7 linked regions of the Rattus norvegicus genome follow. The protein of the gene in region 4 purifies or fractionates together with the protein of the main gene of each other region. This does not show direct contact. Links are inferred from orthologs where the notes say so. Each region holds a gene or a part of one and is shown on either strand. Other genes may lie near its edges. The genes, in order: Tssc4, Eapp, Ddx23, Aar2, Prpf6, Znhit2 and Snrnp200.

Region 1 (4,330 bases), on a different chromosome or scaffold from region 4:
CAGCCCCCACAGCATAATTTGTGTGATTGTCCTGGCACAAACCCCAAGATACTGCTCAAGGGTACCCAATGCTATTTTACTTTCTATAAAGCCTGTAGACCACCTCAACTAAGCTAAACTGGACCACAGGGGTGGCTAAACCAACATTTCAAACACCTGGGGAACATGGAGTTATCTGACCCAATGAACAGCATCTCTGTTCCTTCTACTACTTCTCAAATTAAATGACCACCCAGGTCCTTTCTAGGCGAACTACAGAGACTGGGGCAGACCCGGTGCTTAGCAGGCCAGGCTGGCTAACTTGGTCCAAGTCCCTGGCCTCCACATGAAATACTCACTCGTGCATCCTTCTCCTCCTCCCTGGCCCAGCTTCAGCTGAAGGATCTAGCATCAGCTGTGTCTTATACAGAGGTCACAAGTCCTGGAGACATACAGCCCGGACACCAACCATTTGCTGGCTCACAACTTATCCTCTTCCTAGAACCCGTGGTCTGTGCGGGCCCAGTGCTGGGGCTGCACTGGTTTCTGGGGGGCAGGGGGACCATATTATGCTCATCCAGTACCATCAGGGGCACAAGGCTGAACACAGCTACGAGCCCACTCCCTCTGGGTAGGTTACCAGTGACAAACATCAATGCCCATGGCAAACCTTCACAGCGGTCCTCACTAGAGCGGGGAAGGCAGGATGAGGCTGGTAGAGATGCAGTCCTGTAGTTAGCTGCCCAGGACTGTTTGGACATAACTCTTGAGTGGGGCCGAGAAAAATTCACGAAATTCAGTAAATACTCAAAACCTTTATTATTCACCCCAAACAATGGGGCACAAAGGCCTTCAAGGTCCCCTGACCCACAATTCCCAGTCTCTGCCAGAGTTGAGGCCCACACATCCCTACTACAGAGAGCCCACACTGTCCCACCTGGACTGGGCAGGTGAGGAGGTAGAGCGATGGCACTGCAGTCAAACTGAGGGTCCTCTCTCAGACCCTGGCCCCTCCGGGTTACTATCCCTGTTCCGGAAGTGGTCTCTGCTCCGCTTCTTGCTGCCATGGAAACCAACAGTTTTCATACCTATGGGGCCTGATGAGGACTCAGGACGGGCAGCTTCTGAAGGCACTACCACCTCTGGCTGTCCCTGGTGGCCACTCCATTCCTCAGCCTCAGGCCCGGCGAGATGGGCTAGCTCCACTGAGGCCTCACCCCCTGCACCTGACACAACCCCCTTCTTTAGGACCCTCTTCCTCTCAGCCCTAGCCTCGCTGCCCCGCACTGGTTTGGTGAAGACCACTCTTCCCTCCCCACAGCTAGAGGGGTCCTGGTTGAAAAAGGGCACATAGTCTGTGGGGGATGCCTGGCTTCGAGAGCTCAGGAAGGCCAGGGCAGCATCACGATTGCTCTGCTCACTGGTTTCAGACACATCTTCCAGACTGTATTTGGTCCAACGCTCAGGGTGTGACACATAGTCAGGGACAGGGTGTACCCTGGTCGGGTCAGTGTTCCCATGCACTCTGCTCAAGCTTCTTGCTGGAGTCTGACTTGGGGGAGCCACAGGCCGCTTGAAGCTGCAATTGTCAACCACACTGGTTTGGGGAGCAGAGCACGGTTCCTGCCGGGCTGCACTCTCCAGACAATCAAAGATGCTGTGGCTCCGCTGGGAGAAAGTGGAGCTCATGCCTCGGAGGTGGAACGGCTGCACTGCAGTGGTGGGAATGCCCGTGGGGTGCGAGGGAGGGTCATCAGGGCCCGAGTCCTCCTGGCTCTCCCCAGAAAGCCTCTCTGGGGACAACGCTTGGACCTCCACACCACTAGGTAAGCTGAGGTCAGAGTCCGAGTCGCTGAGGGAGACGGTGTCAGAAGGCAGGGTGTCATCCTCGGTGGGTTCCTCAACCTCCAAGCCGGCCTCTGTCTCCGCCATAAGACCTGACATCCGTCCCACCTGTAGCAAGGCAGTCCCAGTTCTGCCGTGAGGGGTGTACCTAATGCCGCACCCCTCCCCGCCCTCCCGGGCTCTTTCACCTCCACTGTGTGCCAGGCGCCTCTACTCACAACCGGACCGGAGGCCTCGCGAAGCTGGGTGGCTAAAGGGTATCCTAGCGTGCACAGATGTGGAGCTGCAGGTTAGGTGGGGTTAAGGAGAGAGTCAACCATGAGATCATAACAGTGTGGACATACAATAGATGAGCGCTGGGAGATGCTGGTGACAGGGGATCTCCATCAGCGGCTCGTCCCATCACGAGCTCTTAGCAAAGCGCAGCCTCTCTGGGCACACACTGAAGGCACCACCCGGGGTCCGGAGGGGGAGGTGGCAGAAACAGGCACGGTACTGGCCTGGTCGCGGCCCTAGGGAGGCCAGTGCTCACCGTTCCAGCATCCGTACACGCTTCAATAACCTGCCACCTTTCCCGCAGCGTCCCGCCAGTTCCACGGGATTCCGGCCTGTTCAATCTCGCTTGGATTCCTGGGAAACCGAGTCTCGGGCTATCAGAATATTGTGGCTTCAGCGCCCGAGAAACTACAACTCCCAGAAGGCAATGGGGTCACTGCCTAATGCCTGCCGGGACTTGTAACATGTGTGCCATCCCGAAGACCGGAGCGCACACGGAAATCCACCCAGAAATGACGAAAGGGGAAAAGGCGGAGCCGTGATTCCCACAATACTCTAGGGTTAACTGCCAATCGCAAAGGGTTGAGGCTTCTAGCGTCGTCCGTCGGAAGCCACCTGGGCCGGGTCCGACACGAGGAAGTGCGTCACTACGCACTGCGAGCTACAACCAGTTTCCCAGACACTTCCGGCCCTGGGCGGAAGTGGTGCGGGTCTTGTGCTTTGTTGGCTTTCTGGAGTTGGGCGGGACCAAGGTCCTGGTTGGCTCTTGGCGTATAGAGACGTGGTGGTCCTTGTAATGGGTTGGTTGGGGCTTCATAGATTCGAGGCCGTTACCGTGGGCACTGCCTGTCTGTGCTTCCTGACACAGGCACGGACGGACGCTTTAGGTGCTGGACGCTGACCCTACTATTCAAGGCCACACATAATCCTCCTCCAGGCCTGGGACTGTTTTCTTGCATCCTTAGACACCAGAGTCTGAGGATCCACTGGGCTGCTGCATTCTCTCCTCCTTTACTATGTTCTTGAAGCTGTGCAACAGGCTTCCAACAGCCTTGGCCTGGTGCCCATGGGCCTCACAACATAGAATATAAAGGTTCCCTCAGAAGCCAGCCAAGCATGGAACAGGTTGCCCTGGCGTGGTGGGTGGAGGTGGCTGAGACCTAGAATGCCCTAGTACAAGCTTGGGGTTCACCGACAAATCAGCCTACTGCTGGGACCTGAATCTTAGCCAGGACTTCTCCTCTCTAGTGGCCAATTAACCCAGCAGCCTGGGGGAGGGGTGCAGACAGGAGTCAAAGAGAAAGACAGTGGTGGTTGCCCCTTGTGTCCAGGAGGTTGCTTTAGCCTGATCCTCAGTTCACAGGGGTGAGCTCAGCGGACTGCCTTTTATTTCTTGAGACACAAGCTAGAACCATCCAGCTCAGTGGAATATTTCCAACACCTAGATACCTGAGATGGGGTAATGGTCTAACCTTTACTGTCTTGTCCCTCAAAAGGAAAGTGTTCTTGCAGTTTATCCCCAACATTCTGTGCTGGATTCCCCTGCCTTGTGGCTCCTCCTACCCGACTCAGCCGACCTGGCATTCCCAACAGATGAGTGGAAATGAGGTCAAGGCTGGTGTTAGGTCAGCATTGAGCTCCCAGTACAGGGAGGTACAGAAGTGAGGGAGTACTCAACATGGAGTGCTCCCAGGGTCCCAGCCCTCCCCACCCACTGTGTTCCACAGGCTCTATTGGACCTGCTCACCCTGTACCTGGCAAAGTTCAGAGCTGACGAGCCAGGTCTCTGACACCACTGGCACAGGAAGAGGTCTGGCAGTCCCATTAGCATGCCTGATTTTTTCCTCCTTTATTAAATGACTGTTTCAAGATTTAATTACAGTTGAAGGTGACACGTTAGAAAGAATAAGTGCATTGAAGGCATAAGAGTGCTTACAAACCCAGCTCTTGAAATGGAGGCAGGAAAGGGACAAGGATTAAAAAGATGGGAGCGATGTGACCCACAGTGGGCAGAGTGGGTGGACATGGCCTTCTAGCTTGGCTATGTGGCCTCTGGACAAGTAGCTATGGAGGAGGTTTGGCTCAGCAGGCAGAACTCTCCAGGGGTCCCAGAAGTACAGGGCCCTGCCAGCTAGGGCCAGCTCCACCTCTACGTCCCCACATACGCCACCTATGTGTGGTGTCGGCTCCAAAAGGTGACAGGAAAAGTTCAGAACAAAAAAGACTCAAA
Region 2 (4,139 bases), on a different chromosome or scaffold from region 4:
AAGCAAAGCCTCCTAGGCCCTGAGGGTACAGCTCAGCAGCTTGGTATCCGCCTAGCGTGTATAACTGCATACATTTCATGTCGCCTAGCATGTATAACAGCATACATTCCATATCGCCTAGCGTGTATAACAGCATACATTCCATATCGCCTAGCGTGTATAACAGCATACATTCCATATCTAGCACCACACACGAGTGCACAGGAAAGGTTATAACAAAGAATTACCACAAGCTTCCACCACACTCCTCCTAGGTTTGTAACAAAAGCAGAAGTGGGGGCTCAAGCCAGTACGTGCACATCAGTGTTGACAACACTATTCCTGACAGTCAAAAGGCAGACAGAACAAACTTCTCCTGGTGGACACACATACGATGACATTGTGCAGCCATAAGAAGAAGTACTGTGCTACAGTGTGGACAAACTCAGAAGCATTTTGTTCTTGGGCCTGCAAGGTGACACGAGTCGTTAACCCCAGTACTTGGGATTACAAAACAAGAGCAAAGAACCACTTGGGAGGCAGAGGTGGACGGATCTCTGCATATTCAAAGCCAGCCTGGTCAGCAGAGTTCTAGGATAGCTAAAAATAAAATTAACAATTTAGATACTAAAACCCTAAACTCAAAATGATTTAAAACTATAAAATAAACATAGTAGTGTACAGTCATAATTCCAGCACTTGGGAGGCTGAGGCAGAATAGCCCTGGGACTTCAAGGTCAGTCTAGGAGAAACCTTATCCCAACAAACAAACAAAAAAACTTTAAAAAAAAGTTTAGCGTATCTATTTGGAAAAAGTTAATTTTCAAAGACCAATAAAACCAACCAACCAACTACTGAAACTTTAGTTTTATAACAGTCCCTGCTTCCCAGGTGGCTGAGGTAGGAGGACTACAAATTCCAGGTCCACTGGGCTACAGAGTAATCAAACCTTGTTTTAAAAAGCAACATGAGGGTTAAGGATGCACCTCAGTGACATCGCTTGCCCAGCATACTCAAGAGCCTAAATTCAATCTTAGTACCAGAGAGTAGGGGCAAGAGGAAAGGCCAGGCATGATGGCACAGCACACACCTACAATCCCAGCACTTAGGTTGAGGCAGGGCTGCTGTAAGTTAGCCAAGGCAGCATACATAAGGAGAACATAACAAGACCCTGTCTCACAAGAACAATAAAAACGTTCTTTTATTTCTTAAATGAAGAAACTCTTAACAGTTTAGACTCATTAATAACGCAACAATTAATTGCTGTGGTGACACACCTGAAACTTCAGACAGCATTTGGAAAGTAGAGGCAAGAGTTTAAGGCCAGCCCCAAGAACATATTAAGGTTTGAAGCCAGTCTGGGTTACACGATAATCTTTTTAAAAACAAATAAAAATTCAGCCAGGTGGTGGTGGCGCACACCTTTGATCCCAGCACTAAAGAGGCAGAGGGAGTTCAAGGCCAGCCCGGTCTATAGAGCAAATTCCAGGACAGCCACGACTACATAGAGAGATCTTGTCTCAAAAACAGAGAGACAGATAAAAACTGTTTAACTAAAATTTGCTGGTTATTTTCATATAAAATATTCAAGGTTTTTTTTTTTAATTTTTAAAAAAGATTTATTTTATATGAGTACACTGTAGCTGTCTTCAGACACACCAGAAGAGGGCATTAGATCCCATTACAGATGGTTGTGAGCCACCATGTGGCTGCTGGGAATTGAACTCAGGACTTCTGGAAGAGCAGCCAGTGCTCTTAACCACTGAACTATCTCTCCAGCCCAAGTATTCAAGTTTCAATCCTCGAACTTTTTTGATGTATTTGTATGAAAACAAAGACACATACAGTCAAACAGGAAAGCAATGAAAAATAACTCTGGCTTTCTCTAAAGATTCTAAATATAGACTTAAATTCTTACCCCCTCCTCTTTGCATCTACCCAGGCCTGGTCTCTGCTATCTTTCTCGGGATCATAGAGCAGCTCATCGTTTGTTGGAATCCTGTGTTGTTTCTTCTTCTTCTTCTTGGTCACTTGTGTTAGTTAGAAAGGTTAAGAACATGGATCAGTATCATGTCTAAAGTTTACACTTCTTAATATCAAATGACTCTCCTGTTTCCCATACTATCTATTTATTCTATTATATTATGTTTTTAAAAGTTGCCTAAATGGGAGGGAGTTACCGGAAGGGGGTCAGTGAGCAGGATATAAAGTAAGTAAAAAATTAAACTAAAAATAAGAAAAGAAAAAGATGCCTAAAGCCTTTCTTTAGCAGTCTCAACACTTGGAAAGTTGAAGCGGGAGAACTGCCATGCCTGGGTTACGCAGTGCATTCCGGATACCCTGACAACAAAAGTAAAACCCTATCCCCAAAACAATGCATAAAATTAAATAAAGCTATTCTTCCAATAAGAGTCTTGTCCGGGGTTGGGGATTTAGCTCAGTGGTAGAGCGCTTGCCTAGCAAGCGCAAGGCCCTGGGTTCAGTCCCCAGCTCCGAAAAAAAAAAAAAAAAAGAAAAAAAAAGAAGAGTTGTCCAATTAAGACACTAAAACAGGGCTGGAGAGATGGCTCAGCGGTTAAGAGCACCCGACTGCTCTTCCAGAAGTCATGAGTTCAATTCCCAGCAACCACATGGTGGCTCACAACCATCTGTAAAGAGATCTGGTGCCCTCTTCTGGTGTATCTGAAGGCAGCTACAGTGTACTTATATATAATAAATGAATAAATCTTAAAAAAAAAAAAAAAGACACTAAAACAAAAGATAAAGGAGGCCAAAAAGCTAAGTTCAAATAATAAAAAACAAAACCCACTTAAAACCAACTGGGCATGCTGACACATGTCTACAATCCCAGTGCCTGAGATAGAGGAAGTTGAATCATGAGTTCAAGGTCATCCTTGGCTACATACAAAGTTTGAGACCAGCTTAGCTTGTATGAGACCCTGTCAAGAACAAAAGGGAGGGGGTTGGGGATTTAGCTCAGTGGTAGAGCGCTTGCCTAGGAAGCGCAAGGCCCTGGGTTCGGTCCCCAGCTCCAAAAAAAAAAGAACAAAAAAAAAAAAAAAAAAAAAAAAAAAGAACAAAAGGGAGGAAGGTGAGACTGCTCGAAAGTCTAACAATCTGAGTTCAGTCCCTGGGACTCACGTGGTGGCAGGAGAGAAATGACTCTCACAAGTTGTCTTCTACAGCCGTATGTGACTTGTAAAATGAGCTCTCATAAATACACACATATACAGAATAATTTTTGATTAAGAAAAAAAAAAACAATGCTAAGAATGTGATTTGGGTCTTGTGTAGGCAGAGCTGGCCTCAACTCGCTAGGTAGCCTAGGATAATTCTATGCTTCTGATACCCCAGCCTTCACCTCCCAAGTGCTTGAATTACAGGTGCATCCACACTGGGATCACATCTGGGGCTTTGTGTACACCATGCAAGCAATTCTGTAAACTGAGCTCCATCCTTAGTCCTATGAATTACTTTCCGCATAGAAGATCACCACAAGTTCTCAAACATAAATCATTACTAAACCAGACAATGGCAGCTCACATCTGTAATCCTAACATTTGCAAAGCAGAAGCATGAGAACTGCCATGAATGTGAGGCCAGATGTGCTGCACAGTAAGTTTCCAGTCAGACAGGGCTATACTCCAAGACCATCTCTCAAATAAATACTAAAATCAGAACAAAATAATATTTAAAAACCAATGGTAATTCTTTTAAGGTTTATTTTATATATATGAGTGTATGTTAAGTACACTGTATAAATGCCTAGTGCCTGCTGAAGCCAAAACAGGGACCCAGGTCCTCTGGAACTGGAGTTATATACGGATAGCTGTAGGGGCAAGGTGAGCTCTAGAAGTGGAGTTATATATGGATAGCTGTAGGGGCAAGGTGAGTTCTGGAACTGAACCAGGACCCTCTGCAACAATAGCAGGTGCCCTTATCCTCTGGGCACAACCTGTGGTTGTGACCCCTTCGGAGGTTGAAGGACACTTTCACAGGGGTTGCCAATGGCCATCAGAAAACACAGATATTTACATTACAATTCACAACAGTAGCAAAATTAGTCATGAAGTAACAACAAAAATAAATTTTACCATTGGGGATTGCCACACATGAGGATTAAAACGTCGGGGTTGGGGATTTGGCTCAGTGGTAGAGCA
Region 3 (4,139 bases), on a different chromosome or scaffold from region 4:
TGCTCCCCGGCCTCTCTCCTTCCACAGTGCTCCCCGGCCTCTCCTTCCACAGTGCTCCCCGCCCTCTCTCCTTCCACAGTGCTCCCCGCCCTCTCTCCTTCCACAGTGCTCCCTAGTGTTTTTCCATCTAAGCTAGTTCCTCATGATTCTGCCATCTGTCTAACCCTGGATGTTATTTAGTTCTTTTTTTTTTTTTTTTTTTTCGGAGCTGGGGACCGAACCCAGGGCCTTGCGCTTCCTAGGCAAGCGCTCTACCACTGAGCTAAATCCCCAACCCCCTGGATGTTATTTAGAAACCCCATTTATTCCTGAAGGAAACTGAAGGTAGCAGATAGTTTCAGGTCCATTCTCTGGGACCTTAAGTACCAAATCTGGCTGGAGGTTGAGGGTCAAGTTCCTTAGCATTGAAGGTCTGTTGCCTAAGTGGGTAGATAGTTCATAGCAGAGAAAAGAAACAGGTGAGTTGTCTGCTAAAGCCATACATGGTTACACTGATCCTTCCAGATTGTGATCGCCACCCCAGGACGTCTGATTGACGTGCTGGAGAACCGTTACCTGGTGCTCAGCCGCTGCACCTATGTGGTTCTGGATGAGGCCGACAGGATGATTGACATGGGCTTCGAGCCAGATGTGCAGAAGATCCTGGAGCACATGCCTGTCAGCAACCAGAAGCCGGACACGGACGAGGCCGAGGACCCCGAGAAGATGTTAGCCAACTTTGAATCAGGAAAACACAAGTACCGTCAAGTAGGCAGCTTTCTTGGGAGAACTTGAACCAGTTCCCAAGTCTTGTTTTCAACCTTCCTTGCCTAGGGAGGGCCCAGTGCACACGCTTCCAGCACGCTAACACTACTGTACATGCTTCCAGCATGCTTGTGGTGCAGAAGAAAAAGGTGCCAGGCATAGTGACTCATGGCTAAAGCCCCAGCACTCGGGAGGAGGCAGGAAGATTGCCCAAGACTGAGGCTAGGTTGTCTTAGATGTGAGTTCCAGGCCAGGCAGATGTGCACAGCAAGATCCTGTCTCAAAAGAGCTAAACAAAAGTAAGGACTGAGGGCTGATGAGCCAGCTCAGGAGGGAAGTTCCCAGCAAGCGCATGGTGGCTTGTGAGCATCTAGAAGGGGGTCTGATGCCCTCTTCTGGTGTGGAGGTGTAATACAGAGAGCACTGGGGCATTAAAAGAAGAAAAGTAGACAAGCTGGGCACTGGCACACCTTTAGTCCAGCCTGTGGGAGGCAGAGGCAGGGGGATCTGAATCTGAGGCCAGCCTGGACTACAGAGTGAGTTCAAGGACAGCCAGGGCTGCAGAGAAACCCTGTCTTGAAAAACCTGTAATGATCATGGTGATGATGACCTGATGTGAGGAATCATGATGCTACTTGGATCCAGGTGGTAGCAAATGCTCCCGGTCCTTCCTAGTGTGAGACGAAAGGCAAAGAACACTGTTTCCCAGGGTAGCAGTGTTAGATTAATGTCTTAGCCTGAGTCGGGCTGCTTGGGCTGACAGTAGGGTATGTAGTTCATCTGCCTGGGCCCGAGCTGAACCTCCTGTTTTATAGACAGTCATGTTCACGGCTACCATGCCTCCAGCGGTGGAGCGTCTAGCCAGGAGCTATCTTCGGCGGCCTGCTGTGGTGTACATTGGCTCTGCAGGCAAGCCCCATGAGCGGGTGGAACAGAAGGTCTTTCTCATGTCGGAGTCAGAAAAGAGGTATGGGCGGGGCTGATCTGGGAGACCTGCGTAGGGCGGCTGTGGGGTGGTTGCCTTGCTGTTTCCTCCTTTGCAAGGTCTCTGTTGAGGACCTTGGGTTTGTCAGTTGCTGGGCTTGAGTGTTGGGGTTACTGAGTCTGGGTGGTATGTGTACCTTATTCTCCTCCCCCTCCCCCAGGAAAAAGCTGCTGGCAATCCTGGAACAAGGTTTTGATCCACCCATCATCATCTTTGTCAACCAGAAGAAGGGTTGCGACGTGTTGGCCAAGTCTCTGGAGAAGATGGGGGTATGTCTGGCAGGCAGAGCAAAGCCAGCGCTGCAGCTCTCTGAAGCTAGGGATGGATGGGGATGTGGCTCCCACTCGCTCTTTAATCTTTACACATCTAACAAACCAGGGCTACAGAAACTAGTGCATGGCTTGAGAAAGGGAGGAGAACTGGTCAGTTACTAGGATTCCCTTCTAGTCCGGCAGCCAGACGGGTGGGGCCAGTGTGAGGCTGGAGCCCTATGAGGGTGGGGGAGGGGTGCTGATGACCAGGCCTGTACTGCTCACCAGGTAAGGGGTGTCCTCAGCACTCAGCTCCTCATGTCCGTAGCCTTCCTAGCCTGTTACCTCCCCATTCCTTTACCTGATTCTCCCTTAGAACCTGTCGTCTGCCTGGCTCCTCATCTCAGCACACTCCTGGGCCTCAGTCCCTATCCTGCCTGCCCCCAACAGGACGCCATGTTTTTGTTCATTCTTGCTCTAGTTCCTGTGTTCTTTCCTCACTTCACTGAACTTCTCTGGCTTCTATGCTCTCCCCTAGCATCATCCGCTCTCCTCTAGCATCGCCTGCTCTCCCCCCTCCCTGTTTCTGCTCCCTCTCCCTGAGCCTAGTGCTTTCTACCCTACAGTACAACGCCTGTACACTGCATGGTGGCAAAGGCCAGGAGCAGCGAGAATTCGCATTGTCCAACCTCAAGGCTGGAGCCAAGGATATTCTGGTGGCTACAGATGTGGCTGGTCGTGGTATCGATATCCAAGACGTATCTATGGTTGTCAACTACGACATGGCCAAAAACATTGAAGGTGAGGCCTGCAGGGGTAGCTTCACTTCAGGGTTAGGAGAGAGGCCACTTACATTGTCCCTCTCAGAGTCAGGGTGCACCGAAAACTCTGCTTGAGTCTGGGGCGACGTCCCAGTGTCTAGGATGACACTTCATGGTGTGTAAAGATTGGCTCTGGCTGGGAGAGCGTTAGTGTTGCTGTGCGACAAGTAGGCAGTGGAGTGGGGGATGGGCAGAGTGGAGGGCACTCTGGATTCACCGGGTGTAGACAGCAGGAGGTGGATGGCTTGCCCATGGAGGTCTGTGGGGCAGAGGGTTCCTTTAAGAGTGGGCACCACGCACCAGGACATCTGACTTGGTCCCGAGTGACATTCTTCTGCTCCCTAGATTACATTCACCGAATTGGCCGCACAGGAAGAGCAGGCAAGAGTGGTGTAGCCATCACCTTCCTCACCAAAGAGGACTCAGCCGTGTTCTATGAACTGAAGCAAGCCATCCTGGAGAGCCCAGTGTCCTCTTGCCCTCCAGAGCTGGCAAACCACCCAGATGCCCAGCACAAGCCAGGCACCATCCTTACCAAGAAGCGCAGGGAAGAGACCATCTTTGCCTGACACAGCACCTGAGTGGATTTGAAGCCATGCTCTGAAACTGGTGCCTGTCCTAAGCCCTCATGACCCCTCCAGGCTCTTGTCCTTGGCTCATGGGTCTTAGGAAGCAGCCAGAGTCCCTGGTTTGGAGCCTGTGAGGTGGGCTCCAAGGGAACAGGAAGGGCTGTAGGAGGCAGGAGCAGCACGCTATGGGGCAGCTGCCTAGCACGATCTCCAGCCTGAACAAACACCTGGTCACCTGGAGGGGACTTCCTCAGCACACCTGTGTGACTGTACAGCAGTAGTTGCCCTGAGTGACCCAGGGGATCTGGCATCATGAGGATTGTGGACCTTGGACTCTGTCACTCTGACAACTGGTTTCCCATTCGGAGTTTAAAGCAGGTTGAGCGCCCTTAGAACTGCGCAGCCCTGTGCCACACAACCTCTGTGCCACGGGTGCTGTGCACTCTGGGCATCCCTCCTCTCCCCGCCCCTCGGAGTTTAAGTCAGTAATTTGTTTTCTATTCTCTGAGAAGATAAGTTTGTATGTTCTGAGAATAAATACATGAATATTAAAGTGTGTCAGCCCCTGGCTCCGCCCTCCTCTCTGGGAAACAAGTCAGGCCCGCAGCATTGGCTAAGTGAAAGGAAGGCCTAGCTTCTCACATAGTTGTTTATCTGCACGGGAGGGATGGAGGGAGCAGGATGGCAGTGTCTCTCCTGCTTTTGTGTGGAACCACACTTGAGCCAACATGTACTCCCTGCTTCCCTTGCTCGCTGGGTGGGTTCAGCT
Region 4 (4,846 bases):
TCAAAAATCAAACAATGAAGGGTTGGGGATTTAGCTTAGTGGTAGAGCGCTTGTCTAGCAAGCGCAAGGCCCTGGGTTCGGTCCTCAGCTCCGGAAAAAAAAAAAAAATCAAACAATGAAAACAAGCAGCTGGTGGGAAGACAGTTAACTGAGTACAGTGATTGTCCATTGCACACAAAGGATCCTTGCACACGCGCGCGCACACACACACACACACACACACATCTGTGAGAGAGGCAGAGGCAGGAGGATCAGACGTTAAAGTCATTCTCAGCTACACAGTGAATTGGAAGCCAGACTGCGATATGTACACAAGACACTGTCTTAAAAACAAGCAAGTAATCACAAAACAAAACCACCTAAAGTCCAGGGATCAAACAGTTTCCCACAGAGCCACAATTCATCCAGAGAAGACTGACATGGCAGGTCTACAATATTTGAGGAGAGGCTTAGATTCTTTATTTTATCCACATTTAAATTCCTTATAAAGACCCTTTGGTTAAAAACAAAGGCATCAGGGGTTGCTGGCAAATACTCAGTGAGTAAGGGCATTTGCCTTTTAAGCCTGACAACCTCACTTCGATGGCCAGATACTATAAAGTAGAAGGAGAAAAGAGAACCCACAAAGTTGTCTAACCTTCACATGCTTGCCCCAGCATATGACCCACCACCCCATCATTCACTCACATGCACACAATGTAAAACACAATTGTGTAGCAGACGCTGTCTCTGCAGTATTTGTAAGAATGTTTTCAGCATGAACCAATTTAAGCCAATCAACTATTCCGACTTTTACTAAATTGAGTAGGAAGTCACTCACCAGTCCAACAGACACACACTCAGATTACAGGCACTGTGCGGGATTGTTACTGGGCCCTAAAAGAAATATTCGGGGCTGGGGATTTAGCTCAGTGGTAGAGCGCTTGCCTAGGAAGCGCAAGGCCCTGGGTTCGGTCCCCAGCTCCGAAAAAAAGAACCAAAAAAAAAAAAAAAAAGAAAAAAAAAAAGAAATATTCACAGAATAAGACCACTGAAAAACAGATGTTTGTGTTTTACAGAGGTGGCCTCAAAATTAACAATCAGGAAAATCAAGTGTGTCTTGCTGTTGTTTTTTTAATTTTTAAAAAAGATTTATTTTTTTTTTTTAAAGATTTATTTATTTATTATATATAAGTACACTGTAGCTGTCTTCAGACACACCAGAAGAGGGCATCGGATCTCTTTACAGATGGTTGTGAGCCACCATGTGGTTGCTGGGAATTGAACTCATGACCTCTGGAAGAGCAGTCGGGTGCTCTTAACCGCTGAGCCATCTCTCCAGCCCTAAAAAAGATTTATTTAATTATTATAAATACACTGTAGCAGTCTTCAGACACACCAGAAGAGGACATCAAATCTCATTACAGATGGTTGTGAGCCACCATGTGGTTGCTGGGATTTGAACTCAGGACCTCTGGAAAAGCAGTCAGTGCTCTTAACCACTGAGCCATCTCTCCAGCCCCTATTCTTTTATTTAAAACAAACAAACAAACAAACAAAAATCCTTTTACAAAAAATATGGGCTGGATGCCCTCTTCTAGTGTGTCTGAAGATAGCTTCAGTGTACTCATAAATACAATAAATCTTTAAAAAAATATTAGGCGTACACTTTATTGTCTTTACCTTAAAAACAAACAAACAGAAGAAAGGTCTCTAAATCAGCACTCTTTTTCAAACTGCAAGACATAACTTGAGTTAAGAAATCATTTTTAGACATAAAGCTAATCTGAAATAATGGAAAAAGTTATACAGAAAGCAGAAGAGGATGCTGAATTCCCTGAAACTGGAGTTAGAGGTAGTTTTAGCACCATAAAGGTGGTAGGAACTGAGTCCAAATTCTCTGGAAGAGCAGGCAAGTCACTTAACCACCAAGTCATCTCTCCAGCACTGAGAAGAGAAGTTTTAAGCCATCAAAATGCCACAAGGAACAAGGATAGGACTGGTTCCATGAAGGCCTGTGCCTCTATGCGTGGTCACTGCATAAAAGTCTTGTGCCTGTAGTTCAGTCAAAAAAAGTCTGGAACATACAAATGGGATGCATTCTTCACAACCCTGCAATACAGAAAGACACCTCCTCAGCCTATTCACCAACTCCCAAGAGCAAGAGTCCTTGGTCCTCAATGCCTTCTCTATCTGGCTTTAGGGAACATAAAATTCTTACTATGGCCCGAAAATGCTACAAGAATTACTTTTGGCAATTCTTCAGCTTACTTAATACCACCCCAATCCGACGACTGTTCCAACCACACTGGCTTCTTTCTGACCCTCAAACCAGAGAAAACTCTACCCACAGCATTTTGTCAAACTTTTTTTTTTTTTCTAATCTTGTAAAGCCTCCTCGACCCAGGACTAAGTCAAAAGTTCCGTGATTATACTCTGGATACCTTGAAGCCTTTCAATTCCAGTGACTGGTGTGTAACTTTGTGTACTTGATTGAAGACTGTCATGCCTCCAGAACTCGAGTCCTAGGTCCCTAGCGTATGCACGAAGCTTAAAACTTACTTACTACAATATACATTTAAATAAAGCCAGGAAGCCAGGTGGGTGACTTACAGGAAGCCACGCAGAACCAGCTCCAGTGAGTATACGATCTCTGGTTCCCAAGATCTACAGTTAAAAGGGGGGAAAAGTTACTTCGTGAGCCCCAGAGAGCCTGACCATGGTGTCCCTGGAGATGGGTTTTCAGAAATAAAGGCCTCCCGAGACACCAGATCACAAATTCAGACTCCGCCGGCGCGATTCTGAGACAAGAAACGAGGTGACCCGATCACATTTAACGAAACCAAAGGACGAAAGGAGCACCAAGAGCTGACACTCACCGTATTACCTCACGTTCGGGCTCCGCGGAAACTGGACGGAAGTTCGGCTGCTTTGGAGCCGGATAGGTGCTACAGAAAAAGTAGTCCGGCGGAGTCCCCGGTCTCAGAAGAAATGGCCCGTGCTTCCAGGTTCCTCACGATAAAGCACTGCCATTTTCTTCTTACTGGTTCATTTAACTTCCCGAATTGTGAATAACGATTTTAATTAAACTATACACTTTATATCCCCGTCCAGAAACATACTCAACCAGCTGCAGTCCTTTGGTCTCAAGCAGACACGGACTAGCCAAAGCATGGTCCAGGTGTTGGCACACAGTCGTGGTTTGTCACACTTCAGCCACATTTACTATGCCAGTCACCATGTCAGAAGTTCCCTATTACCTCCAAGTCTCCCTAGTTTCAGAACCAAGGCTGTTGCCTAAAGAGAGAAGCAGTTCTTTCAACAGCCACCACAGCAGTTCCTCCAGCAGTGACCACCCAGTGTTTTCTAGGCCTTACGGAATACAACAGTCAAGCTCTAAATCGCGCACTGAGTGAGGAATCCTGCCTGTCTTTTTCCTCTCGATTTCCTTAGAACCTAGCACATAGCCCTCATCGATGTACTGTGCATTTAATAACAAAGCAAATAATGTGGTATAATAAATGACTATTTGTGGGCCTAGCCTTGTGCTGGGTGGTTCTGTGCATCAGAATTCACCAAGAACCAGAGCCACTGGGGGATATATAGACACTACTTCTAATCTTTTCACTAATCCTAGCCAATGTGGGACCCTCCTCTAATCTTGTATTTCCAACTCTACCTACCTGATTATAAGCTTGTTTATCTGTAAAGACCGGATTTTCAAAGGCCTTCAATCAATCTCTTCTTCAGGTGACTTTACCAAGACTGGCTGTATCTACAATGACTGACAGAACAGAGGACGACCTCCATCTTCATTATCGAGCCTCTTTTTTTTTTTTTTTTTATAAATTTATTTTTTAAGATTTTATTTTATTGTATGAGTACACTGTAGCTGCCTTCAGACACACCAGAAGAGGGCATCAGATCTCATTACAGATGGTTGTGAGCCACCATGTGGTTGCTGGGATTTGAACTCAGGACCTCAGGAAGAGCAGTCGGTGCTCTTAACCACTGAGCCATCTCTCCAGCCCCCATTATCGAGCCTCTTAAGATGCCTACCTCCAGCACCATGACAGTTGTCAATGGCGAGAAACCATAAAAGCTGTATCCAAATCCTTGCCATCCCTAGAAAGGATGAGTCCCTCCGCCCCCTTTACTGGTCTCATTTTTTTTTCACCATACCTGCATATCTCTAACCTTCAGTTGGTCAAGGGTTTGATCTGAGTTTATTTCCCATTTCTGTCCCTTACCAAGACCAAGTCTCCCTTGCCAATAGATGTGTCCACACTTTTTACTGGTGCTAAAATTCTGAGACAGTGACCCAGTATAGGGATGAAAACTTGGCAATTAGTATTCTCAATTCACAGAAGAGAAAACTGAGCTTCACAGAGGGACTACAGACTCAGAGAGTACAGGGATCAGATGCAAAAAAAAAAAAAACAACCAAACAAACAAACAAAAACAAAAACAAAAACAAAAAAACTTGATAAAACCAGCTGGAGTTCTGGCCCCTGTGCTGCTGCTTCTGTGTCAGACTTCCTCAGTGATAGATGAACTTGTCAATCTGCCCCACTCATAGCTTCTCAAGTCATCTCGTAGGGGGATTGCAGAATAGGCTAGATGGGGCAATCATGGTTAATCACAGTGGGCTGCCCCAAGGTTAGCCAGAGGCAAGTCAGACCGGCAATCTCAGCCTCTATGGTCAGTTCCATTTCCTTTGGGAAGCTGCTCACCTTCCCTCCCCAGCTCCTGTCTTAGGAGCTGAACTCTGGTATGTGTGGTCAACAGCTTCCAGGTGGCTTCACATGGCTTCCCCATCTGCTTAGAGGTCCAGGACATTTAACATTGGACATGGAAGTTTCAGGAT
Region 5 (4,139 bases), about 24 Mb from region 4:
CAGACTGTGGGAGATGACGGACAGCTTGTGCCACCACAGCCTTGGCTGTGTCCCCAGGCTGTAACCTAGCTGCTTCTAGCCAGACATCTTCACTCTAGGGGAAAAAACAAAGAACAATAAGAACATGGGCAGGTATGACTGCCTGGGAAGCTCTAATTTTTACCTAAAATTCAAAGAATTTCACAGAGGTTTTCTTTCATTATCAGATATACCTAGTTTACACAGAAGAGTACATGACATTGTTGGTTTTATTAACACTTTCTAAATTCGTCCTAATCATCCCACCTTCCAAAACACAAGTGCTAGAATATTCTGAGAGACAGCACTAATCTGTGTTTTGTTGTTGTTTTGTTTTTTGTTTTTTTTTCCGATTTACTTATTCTTATTTGATGCATACAGGTGTTTTGCTTGGATGCATATCCAGAAGAGGGCATCAGATCCCCTGGAACTGGATGACAGGCAGCTGTGAGCTGCCCTATGGCACCTGGAAATCAAGTCTAGGTCCTCTAGAAGACGAGCCCATGCTCTCAACCGCTGAGCCATCTCTTCTGAGTCAACTCTAGGTTTTCTATATTGTGTGACCTGACAAGCTGCCAGGTTTATCACTTTCAGTGATGCTGACCCTGCCATTATGTTAGGCCAGCCTCTGCTCCACACAAAAGTCGTAAAGACTTTCCTTTCCTTCTGTTCATAACCTTGCTCTGACTCTAGTATGGGCACATGCAGCTGTCGAGAGAATATGCTGCTATGGCTTTACCTTGGGGCACATCTCTGTCCCTTTCATAATAAGGTTTCGAGCCACTTGTAACTTTCCAGTGACTTCTTCCAGGCGAGCTGACGCAATCCAGGCTGGTGGATGATGAGGGTTTGTTTCTCGAACAGATTTAAGAAGTAGTCGTGCTTTCTTGATGTCACTGTAAAGGTCAAAAGGCACAAAAAATCAGGCCACACTATTAGAGGGTGTGGCAAGAGCCTGGGAGAAGGCATCCCCTTAAGACACAGAATAAATTGCTAAGGGAAACATGCTGAAGACATAAAATCCAAAAGAGCTACTCTACGGGGGCACTGAGTAAACAAACTGAAGCCTGAATATCCAGACAGGAAACACCAGACAATCTACAAGCTGCTTTCTAGCTCACCACAGGCATTGACCTTATTATTTGTAAAATATTTAATATACATAGTAAAAGAACACAAATACACTTCTAATTTCTCAGAACATCCATGTCATATTTTGACTGTATATTCTTTTTTTTTTTTTTTTTTTTATTAACTTGAGTATTTCTTATATACATTTCGAGTGTTATTCCCTTTCCCGGTTTCCGGGCAAACATCCCCCTCCCCCCTCTCCTTCCTTATGGGTGTTCCCCTCCCAACCCTCCCCCCATAGACTAGTTCACTGGGGGTTCAGTCTTAGCAGGACCCAGGGCTTCCCCTTCCACTGGTGCTCTTACTAGGATATTCATTGCTACCTATGGGGTCAGAGTCCAGGGTCAGTCCATGTATAGTCTTTAGGTAGTGGCTTAGTCCCTGGAAGCTCTGGTTGCTTGGCATTGTTGTACTTTTGGGGTTGACTGTATATTCTTTAAAAAAAAAACTCCACAACATAGTAAGCAATTAAAGTTCCCATTTCAACCCATCAATTCTGCAGCATACTCACTTTATATCGCCACCATGGGTTGGGATCATAGAGTTTAGGTCCGTCAGATAGCCTTTGGGGTCCACAACAGTCTGCCCACTCACTGAGTCAGATACCTGTGAGATAGGTAAAGGGGAGAATGAGCTAGTCATGACCAGCAATGTTTAAAACAACGAATTACCAACAACCCTGAAGGCCCACCCGACAAATCTCATGAAAAGCAGTCAGGAAAAAACAATCTTACTGTGACTCAAACAACAGTTAGTGATGAGAAAATGTCTTCTACATGAAAAGTGTAGAAATCTTCTACAAGGATTAATGTTGCGGGATTAATTTCGGCATCACTGAAAGTGATAAATCAATAGAAAACCTAGAGGCTGAAGCAGGAGAGACAGCTCAGCAGTTCAGAACACTTAAGTATGGCTCCCATAGGCTCATATACAAATACTTGGTCCCCAGTAGGTGAAACAATTTGGAAAGGCTTAGGGAGTGTAGCCCTGTTGGAGAGGATGTGCCACTGGAGGTGGGCTTTGAGATTTCAAAAAACTTGGCCACTCTAGAGTGTCTCTCTTCTAAGAAATGAAAAGAGAAAATAAAAGTAACCAAGACACATAGAGATACTGATCCTAAAAGTTCCATGAAAAGAAATTTCAAGAAAACATATTTTAAAAAAATGTCTTTTTAAGACGGACCTAAGTCCAGAAAGTCTTAAGTAAAAGGCTGGTAATTTCAACTTTTTTTTTTTAAATTTCAATATGGAAGTTCATTGTACTAATCTTTTTCTTTTTTGAGACATGATTTCTTGTGTAGCCCTGGCTGTCCTGGAACTCATTCTGTAGCCCAGGCTAACCCTGAACTCAAGAGATCCACCTTCCTCTGCCTCCCCAAGTGCTGGAATTAAAAGCTCATTCTACTATTTTAATCATAAATTTTTTTTTTTTTGGTTCTTTTTTTCGGAGCTGGGGACCGAACCCAGGGCCTTGCGCTTCCTAGGCAAGCGCTCTACCACTGAGCTAAATCCCCAGCCCCTTAATCATAAATTTTTAAATTGCCATAATAAGCCGTGTCTGATAGCACGGACCAGTAATCCCAGCTACTTGGAAGGCTAAGGCAGGAATGACCAAAGTTCAAGGCTTACCTGGCTACAGAATGAGTTCCAGACTGGCCTAGACAATTTACTGAGTATCAGTTTCCAAAATTAAAAACTAAAAAGAAGGGCTGGAGAGGTGGCTCAGCGGTTAAGAGCACCCGACTGCTCTTCCAGAGGTCATGAGTTCAAGTCCCAGCAACCACATGGTGGCTCACAACCATCTGTAAAGAGATCTGGTGCCCTCTTCTGGTGTGTCTGAAGACAGCTACAGTGTACTTATATATAATAAATGAATAAATCTTAAAAAAAAAAAAAAAACTAAAAAGAAGCCGGCCAAGGTGAAGCACGGCTTTCATCCTAGCCCTCCAATGTAAAACCACATCCACACCTCAGTGGCCACCAAACCATTTCGCACAGCTTCCTTAACTGTAAGGTGGTTGAAGCTACCAGTTTTAGCACTTTGAATTACACGCTCTGAATAGCTGTAGGGATTTCACCAGGGGTTGGGGGAACTAGCTCAACCTTGGCGTAGTGCCAAAGTGTGGCCAATCAAGGCTTCGAGTAAGTCAGGCAGCGGCCACCATCAATGGTACCTTCTCTGCGAAGTTATGGATGAACCTGGCCATGGTCTAAGGTGGAAGGTTCGTCTCCCCAAACCGCCGGCTGAAGGTTTTAAAAATGTTTTTAAAAGACAGAATCTCATATTATAACCCAAGCTGGATTCAGGCTCAAGGTGATGCTCCTGCCTCAGCTTCCTAAGTACTGAAATTACGGGTGTACCAGCACACTATCCAACACTCTTTAAGAAAAGACAGGTTAACAAACACAGAGCACAGAAAAAGGGGAACAGGAGAAAAAGCGTTGTTTTTCTAGTGACTGGTATGGAAGTGCACGCCTAGCATCCAAGCACTTTGAAGATCATGGTGGAAGGATCAGGCCATCCTTGGCTACACACTTTGTGTGAAGCCAGCTAGGCTACACGAGACTATCTTCCTTTCCTCCAGAAAGCTAGGTACAGTAGCTTATACCAGCACTTGGCAGTCAGAGGCAAGCAAATGATTACAAGTTCAAGACTAGCCTGGTCTACATAGATCAGGACAGCCAATAACATGCCAAATCATGTCTCAAATAAAATAACAAAAATACCAAGAAGAACATGTGCAGGGGCATTCTGTTTTATTTGCCAACTTAAAAAAAAAAAAAAAAACAAACAAATAAGGTAAGAGAATAAAAGACACCCAAAGCTGATGTCTGGCTTACACACACACACACACACACACACACACACACACGCACGCACACAAATGCCTATGTATACACACACATATACACAGAGAATATTGAGCTAGAGAGAAAGCTCAGCAGTTAAAAGTGCTTTCTGCTTCTCCAGAGGACCTGAGTTCAGTTCCC
Region 6 (3,663 bases), on a different chromosome or scaffold from region 4:
AAAAAGTAGTACAAAACTAGAGATTGAGCCAGGAATAGCACAGGGGAGACAGATGGATCTGAGTTTGAGATCAGTGGTCTACATAGTTAAACCATAGCTACACAATGAAAATTAGCCATGGCTGGGCTGTAGTGGACTTGAATCCCAGCACTCAATCCCAGGCAGGGAGGCCTCTGAGTTTGAGGACAATCTGGTCTACAGAGTGAGTTCCAGAACAGCCAGGGATAGACAGGAACTTTTAACTTAAAATACCGGAAAAGAGGATAACATTTGAAACTTAAAAATATCCAATAAAAAAAAAAATAGTTAAGTGTGGTGCTGTACTGGGGTGGGGAATTGGCATTGTTTTCAGAAGAATGTCCCTAGAAAAAGCTTAGTGTGTGCCTCCTGTCATTCCAGTACTGGAGAGGTGGAGGCAGGAAGATAAATTCAAAAGCATCCCCTGCTATACAGGTAGTTTGAGGGCAGCCTGAGCTTCAGACCTTGTCTCAGGAAGCAAAAAAAAAAAAAAAAAAAAAAAAGCAAAGAAATCCTTAGAAGGTTACAGACGTCTAAGAGATGTGATTAATGAGACTGAAAAGGAGAGCTGATCTGAACTACAGAAATTTGACAATGTGACAAGTGGTCATTGAAGGTACAGATTCTACAGGCTTTGCCAGATAGCTTTCTGGTTTGTGTTGGTCCATTTTCCAGTATGACTGGACACTAATACAGTATTTCCGTCACAGGCATACCCTCCAGATAATCCACTAAGGCCTACCTCTCAATAGGCCTCATAATATTTAACAATGCAAACAATTTCAATACCGTCGGAGGGATGTTTTCCCTATTTGTATTGCTTTGCTGTGCTTTTGTTATTTGAGACAGGGTCTCAGGTAGGCCCAGGCTGGCCTTAATTTGATATGCTTGCCTGTTATGTATTTTGAGCTCCAGATTTGTTAAAAATGCCTGGTTTATTTATTTTTTTAAATTTATTTTATGTATATGAGTACTCTGTAGTCTTCAGACGCACCAGAAGAGGGCATCAGATCCCATTACAGATGGCTGTGAGCCACCATGTGGTTTGCTCACCATGTGGGAATTGAACTCAGGACCTCTGGAAGAGCAGTCAGTGTTTTTTTGTTTGTTTGTTTGTTTTTTTGTTCTTTGTTTCGGAGCTGGGGACCGAACCCAGGGCTTTGCGCTTCCTAGGCAAGCGCTCTACCACTGAGCTAAATCCCCAACCCCGCAGTCAGTGTATCTTAACCACCAAGCTATCTCTCCAGCCCCCTATTCATTTATTTTTGTCTGTTGTTGTTAGTAATATTTTGCTGGCCTTGTTTGTTTGTTTCCAAGATAGGGCATCACTATGTAGCTCTGACTATCCTGGGATGCACATGAACTCACAGAAATCAGCCTACCTTTGACAACCCGGTGCTGGAATTAAAGGTGAGAACAGCTACGCCCTGCTAAGACCCTGGTGTTTTTTGTTTGGTGGTGGTGCTTGGTTTTGTTATTTAAAAGATAGTTTATTTTTGCACAATTTGGTACAACCACAAAGAACAAACTGGGATTAGCGACACAGTTTTTCAGAATTCGGCGAGCCAACGTGTTGGGAAGAGCTTGGGCGACTTCTACGCTTGCCCAACGAGCTACTCTGGAGAGTTACTGAGAAGTCCCAGAAATGTGCCGAAAGGAAGCTTCCCCCGCCCTCCACGCACACAAAAGCGGAAATAACCAAAGAAGCGCCGGAAGTGGCGGAACTGGTACAGGACAAGCGGCACCAGTTTCCATGGAGCCCGCGGGGCTCTGCGGCTTCTGCCCGGCCGGGGAAGCGGTACCAGCGCGCTACACCTGCCCTCGCTGCAACGCTCCCTACTGCTCGCTCCGCTGCTACCGGGCTCACGGCGCCTGCGCCGAAGACTTTTACCGCGACCAAGTGCTAAGAGAGCTCCGCGGCCGAAACGCTTCGCCCAGTCGTCTGGCGGGCGCATTACGCCGGCTGCGTGAACAACGCGAGGCCGAGGATGAGCCCGAGGAAACAGGCCTCCGGCCCGGCACGCGGCCGGGCGGTCTTTCTGGACTTTGGGAACGTTTAGCGCCGGCTGAGAAGGCGGCATTCGAGCGGCTACTGAGCCGTGGCGAAGCCGGACGCCTCCTGCCTCCGTGGCGGCCCTGGTGGTGGGGCCGCGGCACCGGCCCACGTTTTCTGGAGGAGCTGGATGATGACGCGAGTAGAGATCTTGCGGAGCCGGAGCTACTCCCTGCGAGGACCGGGTTGGAGTCCGTGGATGATGCCGCTGCCGCTGGGGAGCCACTTGCTGAAGACTCCAGTGTCGCCAGACCGCCCGCAATGCCTGCCCGCATCCCAGCACTGGCCAGTCTGAGCCGCAGCCCTACCTCGCCACTGGTGCGCTTCCAGCTGCCCAATGTGCTGTTCGCCTATGCTCACACTCTCGCCCTATATCATGGAGGGGACGACGACGCGCTACTCTCTGACTTCTGTGCTACTCTGCTCGATGTTTCTGGGGCCCTGGGAACCCAGCAAGTCTTTCACTCTACAGAGGAAGCCCTGCAGGCCGCAGCCCACGTTCTGGAAGCGGGCGAGCACCCACCTGGGCCCCTGGGTACACGGGGTGCTATGCAGGAAGTTGCCCGAATCCTTCTGGGCGAGGGTCCTATCAATCAGAAAGGCTACACGCTGATAGCATTGGGGCACCTGGCTCAGACCCTGGGTCGAGCCCGGAAACAGGCTGTGGTTGGTGAAGAGCGAGATCGCCTTTACCGGGCTCGGAAGAAGTGCCAGTTCCTGCTGGCTTGGACCAATGAAAACGAGGCTGCTCTCACACCCCTGGCTCTAGACTGTGCCAGAGCCCACCGAGCCCATGCTGTGACAGTTGAGGAGATGGCAACCCTTACTGGGGAGCTAGAACGGCTTTGGGGAGGCCCAGTACCACCTGCACCAAGGATTCTCATTGAGGAGCTTCCTGGCTGAGCTGGGCATCCATGTCATTACATTAATAAAGATGTGTCTGCTCTGCCCAAATGTTGGCAGTGCCTTTCTTTATAGATGGTGCCCTGTCGTAAGCTTCTTTTGAAGTTACTGTATAGTTGAAGATGACCTTGAACTTCTGATCTGCTTCCCACCCCGACAGTGGGAGGTTACAGGTGTTAGCTACCTTGCGGATATGCAGTGCTGGATAGCAAAGGCTTCCTGTGTGCTACACAGGCACTCTATAACTGAACTACATCCCCAGGCCTGAAGTGCCCCTTTCTGAGGGTAACCAATTGTCTCACTCAGGCTTTTGGACCCACAAACCACTTTTAAGCTTTCATTAGTCAGCTAGTCATCCCCAAGCCTCAAGTCACTGACCCCAGGATAGAAGAAAAACAGCAAAGGTTGAAAACATTTATTCAACAGGGAAAAATTTCCTTCTGGGAGCAGTGGCTCCCTCTTGCTTTCAACGTTCTTGTTTTCAACGTGCTGAGCATCCCTGCCGAGTAGAACTGGTTCTGCTTCAGTAGACATACGGTATGATTCGGTAAGGCACGCGCTTGCAGTATTCCTGCCAGGCACGGCCATACTTTCGCAGGCACTGCTGCTCATCTCGGGCCTCGCGGTGCACCAGCAGTGCAGTGAAGTAGAGCAGGTAGAAGTAGGGCAGCAGGTGGGACAGCCCTGTA
Region 7 (4,139 bases), about 31 Mb from region 4:
CGAGGAGGAAAGAGGAAGGGCATAGAGGAGTTTTTTTTTTTTTTTTTTTTTTTTTTTTTTTCTTTTCTTTTTTTCGGAGCTGGGGACCGAACCCAGGGCCTTGCGCTTGCTAGGCAAGCGCTCTACCACTGAGCTAAATCCCCAACCCCAAGGAGTTTTGACTGAATATTAATTACATATCTTTATTACTGTGTGTGTGTGTTTGTGTGTGTGTGTGTGTGTGTGTGTGTGTGTGTGTACATATGTGCATACGAAAGTCAGGACAACTTTCATTGTTGTTCCTGTCTTTGTGGGGGACTCAGGAATCAAACAGTTGGGCTTGGTGGAAGTGCCCTTACCTGAGGAGCTATCTTGCTAGTCCAATCAGAAGAATCTTTGGATTTTCCCAGCAGGATGGGAAGGGCAATACCATTTTGTAGAAACTAGCACTTAGCATAGTATACATAGGTCAGCATGTTAACTATAAATGGGTGCCATTAACACTCATTTTCAATGTAATAAAAGAGAGATGTGAGATACTAAAGTCAAGGAGATAGCATTTGTCAGAATGTGAATCCAAGTGGTCCATACCCCAAATGTGCTCTGAACCTTTGCACATTTCTGATTAGACTGAGAGCCTTTATGAGTTCTCTAGCGAGCTGAGGAATAGGGAATGTGTGAACAAAGAATAGTGAAAGTGTGACAGGACATAAGAAGGCTGCTGAGTGCCTCTTTCACCTGGAGATGTGTGGCAAGCTATTGTGAAAGTTATATTCTGCTTCTGAATACACCTACCTATCACCCCCACCCCCAAGTGCTCAGACTGACTCCAGGATCTCATGAATTTTAAGCACATGTGGCAACACTGTGTTAAATCCTCAGCAGCTCCTCTAGTCTTGGAGTTTTATTTTGTTTGCCGTGTGAGACAAGGTTTCCCATAGCTCAAGCTGACATCACACTGCGTATTTAAGAATGACTTTGAACTTTGGTCTTGTTGCTGCTTCCCATGTGCTAGGATTACAGGCATGTGCCACTGTGTCCTGTTCATGAATGTCCAAAGCCTAGGATGCTGCAGATTCGCTTGCTTGCCTCTTATGTGTATGACTGTTTTGCCTACATGTATGTATGTACACTACATATCCCTGGTCTCTTGGTGATCAGAAGAAGGCTTCAGATCTCCTGGAAGTTGAGTTGTGATTTGATGTTTTTTTTTCTTCGAGCCATCATGTGGGTTCTGGGAATTGAACCCAGGTCCTCTGCAAGAGCAGCAAGTACCCTTTTGAGCCACATCTCCAGCTCCTGTAGTTTTGAAGATATATACTGCTTTACTTTCTATTGTCACAAAGGCGGTCAGTGTCCTTCTGCATATTATTGTTGAACATGTTGTCTGTGTTTTTTCTTCAGCCTCGAGATATTCTTTGTGGGGCAGCCGATGAAGTTCTGGCTGTTCTGAAAAATGAAAAGCTTCGAGACAAGGAGAGAAGAAGGGAGATTGACTTGCTGCTGGGTCAGACAGATGATACGAGATACCATGTGTTAGTAAACTTGGGCAAGAAGATCACAGACTATGGTGGCGACAAGGAGATCCAGAATATGGGTACCTGAGCTGCTTGTGTCCTAATCATGTTTTGTGGTTGTTGGCCTTTCTGTTGAGTACTCAGCGTCATTGTTAAACTTTTAGAATAACATTGTTTCCATAACTTATGTTGTGTTGCTTAAAGAAAATGGCTAATCTGCAGGCCTTTCGGACAGGCTTATCCCAACAAGTCAGCCTAGTCTGCATAGCAAGTTCCAGCTGCCAGGGTTCCTTAGCAAAACCCATCTAAGAACAATAAAGAGGATAGTCATCTCTTGACGTTTGGTTGTGAGCCTTATCCTTTAGTAGCTGACTTACCTCTCCAGCCCTGGCAGCCATTTTTAAATTGAGACTTACTACACAGGCAGTGAGAGAGAGCAGGGAGGGTTTAGGAGCTGAAGAAGCAGAGCAGAGTAGAATCCAGGTTGGCAGGTTCGAGAGGCCTTGGTGCTGTTTTTCATGTTGATTAAGTCTGTGTTCTGGCCTGAGAATCAATAAGCAAGCCAGGCTGCTGAGGAAATGGTCTTGAGTGTCTCCTCCATACTAACCACTGCCCTCTTTTTGTAATTCCACATCACCTCAGATGACAACATTGATGAGACTTATGGCGTGAATGTGCAGTTTGAGTCTGATGAGGAGGTGAGTGGCTTTAAATGGTTCCCTTCTGTTTTGTTTTGTGATATTACCAAGGTAGTGGGAGCTCTTCTCATAAACTGAAATTCCTAGCTAAATAACGTTTACAGTGTTTTGTGGTAGACTTACAAATTTGGTATTATTCTGCTTAAAAAGTTATGGTTCTGGTTTAGAAGCTAATTTAAACTAGTAGGTGTAAATGACAGTTTATAATAAACCAGACAGACCTGGGAAACTAGGAAGAAGGACTGAGAAATGCTATCCTGTAGGCACAGTTATTGCAATCATGGACTCAAACAGCTACACTTACTTACTGTTGTCCTGTTCAAGTCTGACCCTGTCAGGGATTGGGGAGGAGTCCCTTCTCCTTGCTGCCTAACTATTGGTTATTGATAGATTATGAAAAGGAAGTCATTATCTTCAGTCCTGTAACCACTTCTGACCTTCTGGTTTCTGATGGTTAAATTCAGTGGGTCACAAATGACACAAGTGGGCAGGAATGTGAGAAATAGACGTGTAGGGAAGAGGAGGCTCCATGGGGTGGGGGTGGGGGTAGGGGCGATGATGACGAGAGTGGCAGTAAGAAAACGGTATGCATTGTGTACATGTATGAAATTGTCAGAACACATTTAATCAAAGGAAAAAAGATAAATCATGTCTTTAGTGAGGATGTGTCCTGCTATAGTGAGTGTTTTAACCATGTTATAGTAATTTACCATGGCTTTAGTACTGTGTGCTAATAGCTAGTTTCAAAAGAAAGCATATTCTAGGAGTATGGATGTAGTTGTACTTGGCTGTCTAGCAGTTGTAGCAGCTCCTGGGGTTAAAGCTCTCCACTTCTAGATAATAAGTAAATAGGACTAGTAGGACAATTGAAAAAGAAAAGTTGAACCAGGAATGGTAACACAGTGCCTACGATCCCAACAATCAGGAGGTTAAGGCCAGCTGGGCTACATAATGAAATGTTTCTAAATAATTTTTTTTTAAAAAGTAGTTACTTTAGAGTGAGTTTGTTTTCTGAAAAAGAAAGTGCCAGTCCTGAAATGTTTTCCTGTGACAGGAAGAGAAGATGTATCCTGACTGGAGTCAGGATGAGCACTGAACTGAGAGCCAAGGAATCTTGAGTTTTAGCCTGTATCTTGGGCAGACCATTTTGCCTCAGTTTCTGTTTTAGTAAAACAAAATGCTACTTCCTACAGAATAGTTAATTGGTAGAGAGTTTTTATTCTCTCTCTCTCTCTCTCTCTCTCTCTCTCTCTCCACCCCTTTCCCCTCCCCCTCTCTTTCCCTCCCCACCCTCTCCTTTCCTTACCCCCTCCCTCCCTCCCTCCCTTCCTTCCTTCCTTCCTTCCTTTTTTCCTTCCAGACAGAGGTGTGTGTGTGTGTGTGTGTGTGTGTGTGTGTGTGTGTGTGTGTGTGTGTGTGTGTGTGTAGCTGGGACCAACTCATTAGACCAGAGGCTGGCCTCAGACTCACTGAGATCCACCTCTACCTGGCCTCTGCCTCCTGAGTGCTGGGATTAAAGGCATGTGCCACCACAGCCTAGCTGTTAATTAGTAGTTTTAATTAGGACAACCTGACACAAATTTCCTTGCTCATAGCAATTTATTTAGCAAGTGCTAATTGTTGAACATGATGCTCTTTAAGAACAGTCCACAACTGAGATTATGCAAACTAACCATGGTGTCTACATTTCTGGCTCACAATCTGCTTTCCTGTGAGTACATCTTCATAGGTCCTCTGTTAGCCAATAGTCTTAGTTTGAGATATCTGTGTCTCAGAAGGAGCATATGATCCTGGTGTTTGATATTTGGCAGCTAAGGTAAGAAGCAGAAAAGAGGACAGATACATCTAATAAGCCCGTTCCAAATGGTCATTCCGTTGATGTTCCTGGAATATGGTTGATTATTGGCTTTACCCCAAAGCCATTGTTCTAAGCATGGTGCATACT

What was found.
Region 1: the proteins of Aar2 (region 4) and Tssc4 purify together in Homo sapiens (affinity purification with mass spectrometry; 3 studies listed by BioGRID and IntAct, counting the BioPlex papers as one, with this or other methods). This does not show direct contact. The link is inferred for Rattus norvegicus from reciprocal best matches to the Homo sapiens genes AAR2 and TSSC4.
Region 2: the proteins of Aar2 (region 4) and Eapp purify together in Homo sapiens (affinity purification with mass spectrometry; 4 studies listed by BioGRID and IntAct, counting the BioPlex papers as one, with this or other methods). This does not show direct contact. The link is inferred for Rattus norvegicus from reciprocal best matches to the Homo sapiens genes AAR2 and EAPP.
Region 3: the proteins of Aar2 (region 4) and Ddx23 purify together in Homo sapiens (affinity purification with mass spectrometry; 3 studies listed by BioGRID and IntAct, counting the BioPlex papers as one, with this or other methods). This does not show direct contact. The link is inferred for Rattus norvegicus from reciprocal best matches to the Homo sapiens genes AAR2 and DDX23.
Region 5: the proteins of Aar2 (region 4) and Prpf6 purify together in Homo sapiens (affinity purification with mass spectrometry; 3 studies listed by BioGRID and IntAct, with this or other methods). This does not show direct contact. The link is inferred for Rattus norvegicus from reciprocal best matches to the Homo sapiens genes AAR2 and PRPF6.
Region 6: the proteins of Aar2 (region 4) and Znhit2 purify together in Homo sapiens (affinity purification with mass spectrometry; 3 studies listed by BioGRID and IntAct, counting the BioPlex papers as one, with this or other methods). This does not show direct contact. The link is inferred for Rattus norvegicus from reciprocal best matches to the Homo sapiens genes AAR2 and ZNHIT2.
Region 7: the proteins of Aar2 (region 4) and Snrnp200 purify together in Homo sapiens (affinity purification with mass spectrometry; 5 studies listed by BioGRID and IntAct, counting the BioPlex papers as one, with this or other methods). This does not show direct contact. The link is inferred for Rattus norvegicus from reciprocal best matches to the Homo sapiens genes AAR2 and SNRNP200.

The regions. Positions count from the first base shown.
Region 1 is NC_086019.1:207,680,689-207,685,018, reverse strand, and holds Tssc4 (U5 small nuclear ribonucleoprotein TSSC4), read right to left. Parts: upstream 2,475-4,330; 5' UTR 2,357-2,474; intron 2,108-2,356; 5' UTR 2,043-2,107; exon of another isoform or gene 1,933-2,042; 5' UTR 1,924-1,932; coding exon 958-1,923; 3' UTR 775-957; downstream 1-774. UniProt on the Homo sapiens protein: Protein associated with the U5 snRNP, during its maturation and its post-splicing recycling and which is required for spliceosomal tri-snRNP complex assembly in the nucleus.
Region 2 is NC_086024.1:77,915,089-77,919,227, forward strand, and holds part of Eapp (E2F-associated phosphoprotein), read right to left. Parts: intron 2,010-4,139; coding exon 1,898-2,009; intron 1,891-1,897; exon of another isoform or gene 1-1,890. UniProt on the Homo sapiens protein: May play an important role in the fine-tuning of both major E2F1 activities, the regulation of the cell-cycle and the induction of apoptosis. Promotes S-phase entry, and inhibits p14(ARP) expression.
Region 3 is NC_086025.1:131,676,423-131,680,561, reverse strand, and holds the end of Ddx23 (probable ATP-dependent RNA helicase DDX23), read left to right. Parts: intron 1-504; coding exon 505-747; intron 748-1,559; coding exon 1,560-1,711; intron 1,712-1,889; coding exon 1,890-1,998; intron 1,999-2,606; coding exon 2,607-2,781; intron 2,782-3,146; coding exon 3,147-3,370; 3' UTR 3,371-3,926; downstream 3,927-4,139. UniProt on the Homo sapiens protein: Involved in pre-mRNA splicing and its phosphorylated form (by SRPK2) is required for spliceosomal B complex formation.
Region 4 is NC_086021.1:165,515,605-165,520,450, reverse strand, and holds the start of Aar2 (protein AAR2 homolog), read right to left. Parts: upstream 2,928-4,846; 5' UTR 2,593-2,927; exon of another isoform or gene 2,487-2,592; coding exon of another isoform or gene 2,424-2,486; intron 1-2,423. UniProt on the Homo sapiens protein: Component of the U5 snRNP complex that is required for spliceosome assembly and for pre-mRNA splicing.
Region 5 is NC_086021.1:189,115,270-189,119,408, reverse strand, and holds part of Prpf6 (pre-mRNA-processing factor 6), read right to left. Parts: intron 1,756-4,139; coding exon 1,661-1,755; intron 915-1,660; coding exon 758-914; intron 95-757; coding exon 1-94. UniProt on the Homo sapiens protein: Involved in pre-mRNA splicing as component of the U4/U6-U5 tri-snRNP complex, one of the building blocks of the spliceosome.
Region 6 is NC_086019.1:212,781,843-212,785,505, forward strand, and holds Znhit2 (zinc finger HIT domain-containing protein 2), read left to right. Parts: upstream 1-1,741; 5' UTR 1,742-1,771; coding exon 1,772-2,974; 3' UTR 2,975-3,023; downstream 3,024-3,663. Other genes in the region: delta(14)-sterol reductase TM7SF2, read right to left, coding at 3,498-3,658. UniProt on the Homo sapiens protein: May act as a bridging factor mediating the interaction between the R2TP/Prefoldin-like (R2TP/PFDL) complex and U5 small nuclear ribonucleoprotein (U5 snRNP).
Region 7 is NC_086021.1:134,884,859-134,888,997, forward strand, and holds part of Snrnp200 (U5 small nuclear ribonucleoprotein 200 kDa helicase), read left to right. Parts: intron 1-1,383; coding exon 1,384-1,576; intron 1,577-2,138; coding exon 2,139-2,194; intron 2,195-4,139. UniProt on the Homo sapiens protein: Catalyzes the ATP-dependent unwinding of U4/U6 RNA duplices, an essential step in the assembly of a catalytically active spliceosome. Plays a role in pre-mRNA splicing as a core component of precatalytic, catalytic and postcatalytic spliceosomal complexes.